2 linked regions of the Xenopus tropicalis genome follow. The protein of the gene in region 1 purifies or fractionates together with the protein of each later gene. This does not show direct contact. Links are inferred from orthologs where the notes say so. Each region holds a gene or a part of one and is shown on either strand. Other genes may lie near its edges.

Region 1 (5,111 bases):
GCTGAATTAATTGGTACAGCTTTTCTGCTATCCTATATATTTTATTAATACATTTGCTTAGTGTGGGAGGTGTTTTATCAGTGTTGTATCAATGTGTATATTTTATATCCCCCACAACCCTGAAATTTATTTTTTTCCCTGTACATAAGTAGTCGAAACATATTCTGTTGCAAAGTAATGTTTATCTTTAAAAGGGTTGTTTACTGTTATTAGAGGTTGGAAATATACAAATTGATACGGTCATTTAAATCATATTTGCTTTAATTAAAAGAAAAAAAAAGGAAAATTTTTCAAAATGGCTACCTGTAAAGTTTGTGCTGCATAAAGTCTTGTTGCTGTGCCAGCCAGAGGGCTCATATTCCAGGAAGGGGCAGGCAGTGCTCACTACTGTGCCTGCACCTTCATTGTTCCGATTGGCCGAATCACACCAGCCAATCAGATTTCCGATATGCAAATTAATTGAGCATCTGCAGTAGCAATCAGCTCCTTTACTACACTGCTTGTAAGGTCGGAATGACATGGACAGAATCTTACACAGCCAGGGTGTCGTGAACCCCCCTGGCTTGGGCAGAGAAGAGAGACCTAGAGATCTATGCAGCATTACCTTTTTTCAACTAAACCAAATTGCAAATAGGATTTAAATGAGTGTATCTATTTATATTTCAAAGCTGTAATAATGGTAAACCACCCTTTAAAACCACATAACCACTTCCTCATGGATGTAGTATTTCATATGACAGAACCTAAACTTTGAGCAAGGTATGATGATTTTATCATCTTCTGTATTTTAGCAAAATATGTTGATTCTAAACTTCGGACTGGGAACAAAGAAGCCACGGACGAAGAACTTGAGAAGATGTTGGATAAAATTATGATCATTTTTAGGTTCATTTATGGTATGTGGAACCAAAATTATTTATTTATTTATTTTATTGTAAGTTTAACACATGTATACCAACCTCTAAGTAAGCAATACTCATTTAACAAATGTGATATGCATGGGATAATAAAAAATAAGCATACCCTTTCTGTATCAAGTAGTTCACTGTCTTATGAGCTTGTGCCAAGTAGAGTTGGAACCAAATTTATAGGGGGGGGGAGGGGGTTTTCCAGGTTACGAATATTCTTAAGCTATAGAGAAAATACGTTAGCCTTTTAATAAAGCAGCCTTTCTGCCATTTACAACAAATGCTATGGGCTTAATAAGAATTTTTTTTTTTTTTTTATTATTTTTAAAGGCAAACTAAGCGCTGGCAATCTTTCTTTTTGTGTATAAATAATGGCTTTTTATCGTTTCTAGCAGCTGGTCAACTCCAGAATGTGGGTTAGACCGAGCGCTGGCACAAGAGTGTTTCTAGCAGCTGGTCAGCGCTACAGTGCGGGTTAGATTGAGCGCTGGCAATTTCTTTCTGTGCTATGGGCTCAATGTATAAGTTAAGGCACAGTTATCAACATCTTAACACCACCAAAATTGAGAATTAATAAGAACCTGGCATCTTGGTTGTTTTTATCCTATATGTTAAAATCTTCATTTGTTGCAGCCAGTGTGTTATCAGCTCTGATTTCTTTGTCCATCTTTATCTAAATGAGGCCCCACCTTTCTGTCATGTGCAGTGGAGCCTTAGATCATGCATATTCATGAACTGCTTCCAAAAAGTTCAAGTGCATATATCATGCTTTCTAGAAATAATGCACAATAAAGCAGTTTTTCTCCCAGTACTCTTAGGGGCCCATTCGTTAAACACATTTTTGCTGGTTAAAAGCATGATTGGAAAAGATTCTGAGTAACCACAAGAATTTCTGATGTACGAAAATTCTTTTCTCGGTCGTACCAAAATATTGTGGTTGCGATCCGAAAGTCACAATTTTCAGATCTGAACGATTGTAAAAAGCGCGAAAACCTTTCTGGCTTTTAAACTTCAATGTATGATTTTGGAAGCCTTCCATAGGGATCAATGGCACTCTACAGATCCAACCTGGCCAAAAGATAGTCACAATACCAAAGCTTGAATTCCGAAATGGTCGTAGCCTTTGAGAAAAAATATGACTTTTTCGTGGAAGTAATTTTAACGATATTATCATGGACATTCTGGGAAAAAATTTGTGCTTTTGTGAATGGGCCGTTAGACTACTTGCATTCCCTGGTGTTATTGGGCCTTTAAGGCATTGATAGGATATGGGTGTGTTTAAATTAGAAATAATGTACTTCTAATGTTTTTACAAATTGTATTGTATTTATATTGCCAAATAGAGTTGGTAAAAAAAAATTTTTTTTTAGGAAAGGATGTATTTGAGGCCTTCTACAAGAAAGATTTGGCAAAGAGGCTGCTAGTTGGTAAAAGTGCATCGGTAGATGCTGAAAAATCTATGCTTTCCAAATTGAAGCATGGTAAGCATGAAATATTGCTCGATAAGTATTTTTCCTATCATTTTCCAGTGTAGTGTCTGTGTGTATGTAATTATATTAAATATATAGTATCTCCTTTACAGAATGCGGAGCTGCATTTACCAGCAAACTTGAAGGAATGTTTAAAGACATGGAGCTGTCTAAAGACATAATGGTTCACTTTAAGCAGGTACATGATTATTATTATATTTTATAGAGTGCCTGCATATTCCACAGTGCTTTACACTCATAATGCATCATTTACATCAGTCCCTGTCTCAGTGGAGCTTAAGCTTCCTAAACAAAAAAAAGCACACTGTATTATTCTGGGCCTGGGGTGGGTAGAATGACAGGACAAAAAAAATACTAGTCTCCAGACACATTTAGTCTACATAAGTATTTAGGGTGTTGACCTCACTAGTGCCATGGCAAGGAGGTGTATCTGCTGACTAATATATTTTATTGATGCAACATCACTTAGAATATATGTTTTTACATAGACTGCTTATAGACCTTATTAACTTGCTCTTTGTTACCTTTTATAGACCTACATCCCAATAGACATACATTTTCTGGATAACACTGTAATTTATCTATATAATATTGAGCACTAAGTTTGCCTAGTTGCAGTAACCCCTAACTACTTGACTGGGTCTATACGTGATTAGATCTGCAAAGAACTTCCATATTAGTATTAAATATCTGGTAACAGTAGTTGTTTCCTCTGGCCCACCTCTGCTGTAGGTATTCTACCAAGGGGACTGGCAAAAGTAGTATTAGAATGATTTTTTTTTTAAGCCTCTTAGCCTCTTGTATAAATAAATTTAAAGCAACTGGACTTGTTAAGTAATCATTGAAGACGTTTCACTACTCATCCGAGCAGCTTCTTCAGTTCAAATGACTTCCCATACCAGTCATTTGAACTGAAGAAGCTGCTCGGATGAGTAGTGAAACGTCTTCAATGATTACTAAACAAGTCCAGTTGCTTTAAATTTATTTATACTAGATATACCATGACCTGGATGAATGAAAATCTTCATAGACACTCTTAGCCTCTTGCATTTATGGGAAAACTGCTGGCCCAAGGCCCATGTAAACATCTTTCATTGGTGGCTATGCTTTTTAGTGTTACTACTTATTTGTGCAATTGGACATTTTATTCTTATTGGAAATGTTTTGACAGGATTTACAGTGTTTGTGCCATTTTTCCATGTTTACATACACATAGCAATGCATGTGGCAGTATCAAAGCACAGAAGAAGTTTAATCGCTAGAAAAAATGATAAATGTGTTGTTTTTTTTTGTTTCCTCCCGCCCCCCCCCCCCCCCCCCCTTCCTTCAGTACATGCAGAACCAGAATGTCCCTGGCAACATTGAGCTTACAGTAAATATTCTAACAATGGGGTACTGGCCAACATATGTGCCTATGGAAGTTCATCTACCACCAGAGGTAAGGGTATCTAGACATATACCGTGTACTCATTTTGTGAGCAGTAATATTGCTTGCCATTGAACAACTCATTTCACATTTTTTAAATATTGTCCTATAACTGAATTATATTAACTTGTTTATCCAAAGGTTAATATTTACAGTTAACCTGAATGTTACATAAGCTTGTAATATGCAACCACCTGGTCTCTATATACCCTATGTAACACTCCTCATACAGTTTCCTACTGTCCCTTTTAGTTTTTCTCCCAGCATCTTAAAGGAATACTGTCATGGTAAAACGTGTTTTGAAAAAAAAAAAAAACATATCCGTTAACAGAGCTTCTCCAGCAGAATCCTGCATTGAAATCTGTTTTTCAAAAACAGATTATTATTTTTTTTTTTTATGGCTAGCCATACTCTTAATTTCCCAGGGTGCCACAGCCATGTGACTTGTGTGATAAACTTCAGTCACATTTTACTGCTGAGCTACAAGTTGGAGTGATATCAGCCCCCCCCCCACCCCAGCAGCCGATCAGCAGAACAATGGGAAGGGAGCAAGATAGCAGCTCCCAGTAGATATCGGAATAGCACTCAATAGTAAGAAATCCAAGTCTGGGTTGGGACTCCTCCAGTGACATGGGAGTAGGAGAAACAATAGGTTAGCTGAAAGCAGTTCTAATGTGTAGCGCTGGCTCCTTCTGAAAGCTCAGACTCCGGCACAATGCACTGAGATATCGCCTACACACCAATATTACAGCTAACGAAAATACATTTGTTGGTTCAAGAATAAAAGTTTAAATGGTAGAGTGAATTATTTGCTATGTAAGCAGTGTAATTTAGAAATAAAAATCATGACCGTATCCCTTTTTATTTTAACCCTATTTATTTTGAGTTACGTTCTTTTTGTTTTTAGAACCAATAAGCCACTCATTATCCAGTCTTCATCAACATTAAAGGATAGTCCCAGTCCAAGAACCCATTAACATACCTAAATAACCTCCTTATAAAACCATTGTTATTCCACTCTCAAGAGTTGGATGATCAACCACCAGATGTAATTTCCTTAGTGTTCATTAAAAAAAAATCTTTTCTGTCCATGTCCTCTGCAACTGAGATGTTTCACTATGTCCTGTTTAAGTACATCAACATGACAAATAAATTTCAGGAGCTCAAGTTGCTTCTGAACAAACCAGTGAGAGGGACAATCTAGAATAAAAATATAATATATAGGATATCCATGTATTGCAGACCGGTGCCTCCTGATAGCTCCAGGAGCAGAATACAGACATGTTG
Region 2 (3,993 bases), on another chromosome or scaffold:
GGAAAAAAAAAATCCATGTTTTTTTTGTAACTAATTTCAGCTTCCAACTTCCTGGTTCTTGCGAGCACTTTTGGGAGGAAAAAAGTAGTTCATTAGAGCACGGGGGAACAGATTACCCATCAGCGTATCTGTTCGACAGACACAACAAACTGTGGGAGGGGGTTGTTTATACATAACTTACTATCTCCATGAAACGGCAAGTCACTAGTTAGCATTTACCATATATCCCCCGGGAGAGACTGAATTTTTGTATAAGGTCTAGGCTTAATTTAAAAGAACACTGACATGGGAAAACATGTTTGTTACAAAACCCATCAGTTAATAGAGCAGAATCCTGCATTGTAATCTGTTTTTCCCATGGGGCTAGCCATATTCTTCATTTCCCAGGGTACCACAGCCATGTGACCTGTGCTCTGATAAACTTCACTCACACTTTACTGCTGTGCTGCAAGTTGGAGTGATACCACCCCCCCCTCACCCCCAGCAGCCAATCAGCAGAACAATGGGAAGGGAGCAAGATAGCAGCTCCCAGTAGGTATCAGAATAGCACTCAATAGTAAGAAATCCAAGTCCGGCTTGGGACTCCTCCAGTTACATGGGAGTAGGAGAAACAATAGGTTAGCTGAAAGTAGTTCTAATGTGTAGCACTTGCTCCTTCTGAAAGCTCAGACTCAGGCACACTTTACTGCTGCGCTGCAAGTTGGAGTGATACCCCCCCCTCACCCCCAGCAGCCAATCAGCAGAACAATGGGAAGGGAGCAAGATAGCAGCTCCCAGTAGGTATCAGAATAGCACTAAATAGTAAGAAATCCAAGTCCGGCTTGGGACTCCTCCAGTTACATGGGAGTAGGAGAAACAATAGGTTAGCTGAAAGCAGTTCTAATGTGTAGCGCTGGCTGAAAGCTCAGACTCAGGCACAATGCACTGAGATGGCGCCTACACACCAATATTACAGCTACAAATACATTTGTTGGTTCAAGAATAAAAGGTTAAATGGCAGAGGGAATTATTTGCTGTGTAACAGTGTCATTTAATAAATAAAAAGTTCCCCATAAATATCATGACACAATCCCTTTAAGCCCTATAGCCAACATTGCCACAGACCCCCTTGTGTGACTGACATGTTTAGGAAGCCAGGCTATCACATGATAACCGAAAGGCACCTTGGGAAATGCGCAAGCTTAGTAAAGAGCCACAGTGCAGGGTGGAGCAAGATGGCGGCGGCTGCTGCTTCGAACGGCAGCGGGATGGAGGTGGACGTCGCCGGTGAGTATGTAAAGCGCTTGGCTATTGCAAAATGCAGCAGGAGCAAAACAGTTCGCTCTCATATGGAGTTTATGAAAATACACAGGAAGACACCGGCTTTACGCTGAAATCGTTACAGTGAAGCCTATAGGTCTCCATTGGATGCGGGCTTGCCTGTATAGCGTGTGGACTGGTTGTCCGGATAAGGAGGAAATGAGTGGCGCAGCGCCATTGGCTGTGCCAAACGTCAATCAATGGAAACAGGCGCGCAGTAACGTGAAGCGCTGAAGTGAAGCTTTATGTGTGTGAGGGAACAACATGGCTTCTTGGGAGTATTCACATAAATACAGACTTTGAGTTGTGACAGGAAAATCATGTGTAACCAAAATAATGACTGAACTATTACATGCTTCCCTGTGTATTACAGTCTGGCTGTATTTCTGCCAGGGCCAAACATGGCTGCCCAAAGGGCAAAGCCTTCTGCTCTGTCAGAGAAAACACCTGAGGGCAGATACTGTTTGTTTAACTATTCACTGGTAATATGAGCCAGACCTGTCACTTTATGAGGAGAAAAGAGTGACCATAGCTGGTCCAAAACAAATGTAACAATATCTTATAGGTATAGGACCCATTATCCAGAATGCTCAGGACCTGGGGTTTTCTGGATAAGGGGTCTTTCCGTAATTTGGATCTCCTACGTTAAGTCTATTAAAAAATAATTTAAATAAACCCAATAGGATTGTTTTGGCTCCAATAAGGGGTAATTATATCTTAGTTGGGATCAAGTACAGGTACTGTTTTATTATTACAGAGAAAAGGGAATCATTTAACCATTAAATAAACCCAATAGGGCTGTTCTGCCCCAATAAGGGGTAATTATATCTTAGTTGGGATCAAGTACAGGTACTGTTTTATTATTACAGAGAAAAGGGAATCATTTAACCATTAAATAAACCCAATAGGGCTGTTCTGCCCCAATAAGGGGTAATTATATCTTAGTTGGGATCAAGTACAGGTACTGTTTTATTATTACAGAGAAAAGGGAATCATTTAACCATGAAATAAACCCAATAGGGCTGTTCTGCCCCAATAAGGGGTAATTATATCTTAGTTGGGATCAAGTACAGGTACTGTTTTATTATTACAGAGAAAAGAGAATCATTTTCAAAAATGTGAATTCTTTTATTAAAATGGAGTCTATAGAAGATGGCCTTTCCCTAATTCGGAACTTTCTGTACTAGGAAAGCAGCATTAAATGTGTAGAATATGATAAATGCCCACAGTATAGAAGGTAGCTTTTTTTGATATTATTGTACAAACTTCCCCTATGTATTTTTTTTACTAGAACTGTTATTGAACATTTTGTCGTTTCTTTCCTAGCCTTCCCCACTGTCATGGCGCAGGGGGTAACTGGCAGCGTGACAGTTGCGCTCCATCCCCTCGTCATCTTGAACATCTCCGATCACTGGATACGCATGAGATCCCAGGAGGGGCGCCCGGTGCAGGGTAATGTGCCACTATCCCTTCCTCTCATTTCTTCCTATGGATCCTGAGGCTTCACCCACTTACTGACCCCCCTTCCCTCTCCCACCCACAGTTATCGGAGCCCTAATCGGGAAGCAGGAGGGCAGAAACATTGAGGTGATGAACTCGTTTGAGCTGCTTTCTCAGATTAACGAAGAAAAGATCACCATTAATAAAGAGTACTATTACACCAAGGAAGAGCAATGTAAGTGCTTATGTGCCACTAGGGGCACGTACATGTTATAATTCCCACACACAATATGGAAATGGTCATCTTTTAATCACTATATAGCACCTAAAAATGTTGGGCTTAGTACAGGGGAATCCCTATGCTGCCATAGTTTTATGGTATCTCTCTGTACAGGCTATGAGCAAACTTAGGGGGCTGTTCCTGCTGAATTGTGCTTAGTACAGGGGAATCCCTATGTGCCATAGTTTTATGGTATCTCTCTGTACAGGCTATGAGCAAACTTAGGGGGCTGTTCCTGCTGAATTGTGCTTAGTACAGGGGAATCCCTATGCTGCCATAGTTTTATGGTATCTCTCTGTACAGGCTATGAGCAAACTTAGGGGGGCTTAGTACAGGGGAATCCCTATGCTGCCATAGTTTTATGGTATCTCTCTGTACAGGCTATGAGCAAACTTAGGGGACTGTTCCTGCTGAATTGTGCTCAGTATAGGGGAATCCTTATGCTGCCATAGTTTTATGGTATCTCTCTGTACAGGCTATGGGCAAACTTAGGGGTCTGTTCCTGCTGAATTGTGCTTGGTACAGGGGAATCCCTATGTGCCATAGTTTTACGGTATCTCTCTGTACAGGCTATGGGCAAACTTAGGGGGCTGTTCCTGCTGAATTGTGCTTAGTACAGGGGAATCCCTATGTGCCATAGTTTTACGGTATCTCTCTGTACAGGCTATGGGCAAACTTAGGGGGCTGTTCCTGCTGAATTGTGCTTAGTACAGGGGAATCCCTATGTGCCATAGTTTTATGGTATCTCTCTGTACAGGCTATGAGCAAACTTAGGGGGCTGTTCCTGCTGAATTGGGCTTAGTACAGGGGGATCCCTATGCTGCCATAGTTTTACGGTATCTCTCTGTACAGGCTATGGGCAAACTTAGGGGGCTGTTCCTGCTGAATTGGGCTTAGTACAGGGGAATCCCTATGCTGCCATAGTTTTAAGGTATCTCTCTGTACAGGCTATGGGCAAACTTAGGGGGCTGTTC

The links. The genes of interacting proteins can lie anywhere in the genome.
Region 2: the proteins of cul4b (region 1) and cops6 purify together in Homo sapiens (affinity purification with mass spectrometry; 8 studies listed by BioGRID and IntAct, counting the BioPlex papers as one, with this or other methods). This does not show direct contact. The link is inferred for Xenopus tropicalis from reciprocal best matches to the Homo sapiens genes CUL4B and COPS6.

The regions. Positions count from the first base shown.
Region 1 is NC_030684.2:46,066,200-46,071,310, reverse strand, and holds part of cul4b (cullin-4B), read left to right. Parts: coding exon 1-13; intron 14-791; coding exon 792-896; intron 897-2,278; coding exon 2,279-2,389; intron 2,390-2,490; coding exon 2,491-2,576; intron 2,577-3,728; coding exon 3,729-3,836; intron 3,837-5,111.
Region 2 is NC_030679.2:144,242,134-144,246,126, reverse strand, and holds the start of cops6 (COP9 signalosome complex subunit 6), read left to right. Parts: upstream 1-1,193; 5' UTR 1,194-1,214; coding exon 1,215-1,266; intron 1,267-1,534; exon of another isoform or gene 1,535-1,621; intron 1,622-2,625; coding exon 2,626-2,751; intron 2,752-2,842; coding exon 2,843-2,974; intron 2,975-3,993. UniProt on the Homo sapiens protein: Component of the COP9 signalosome complex (CSN), a complex involved in various cellular and developmental processes.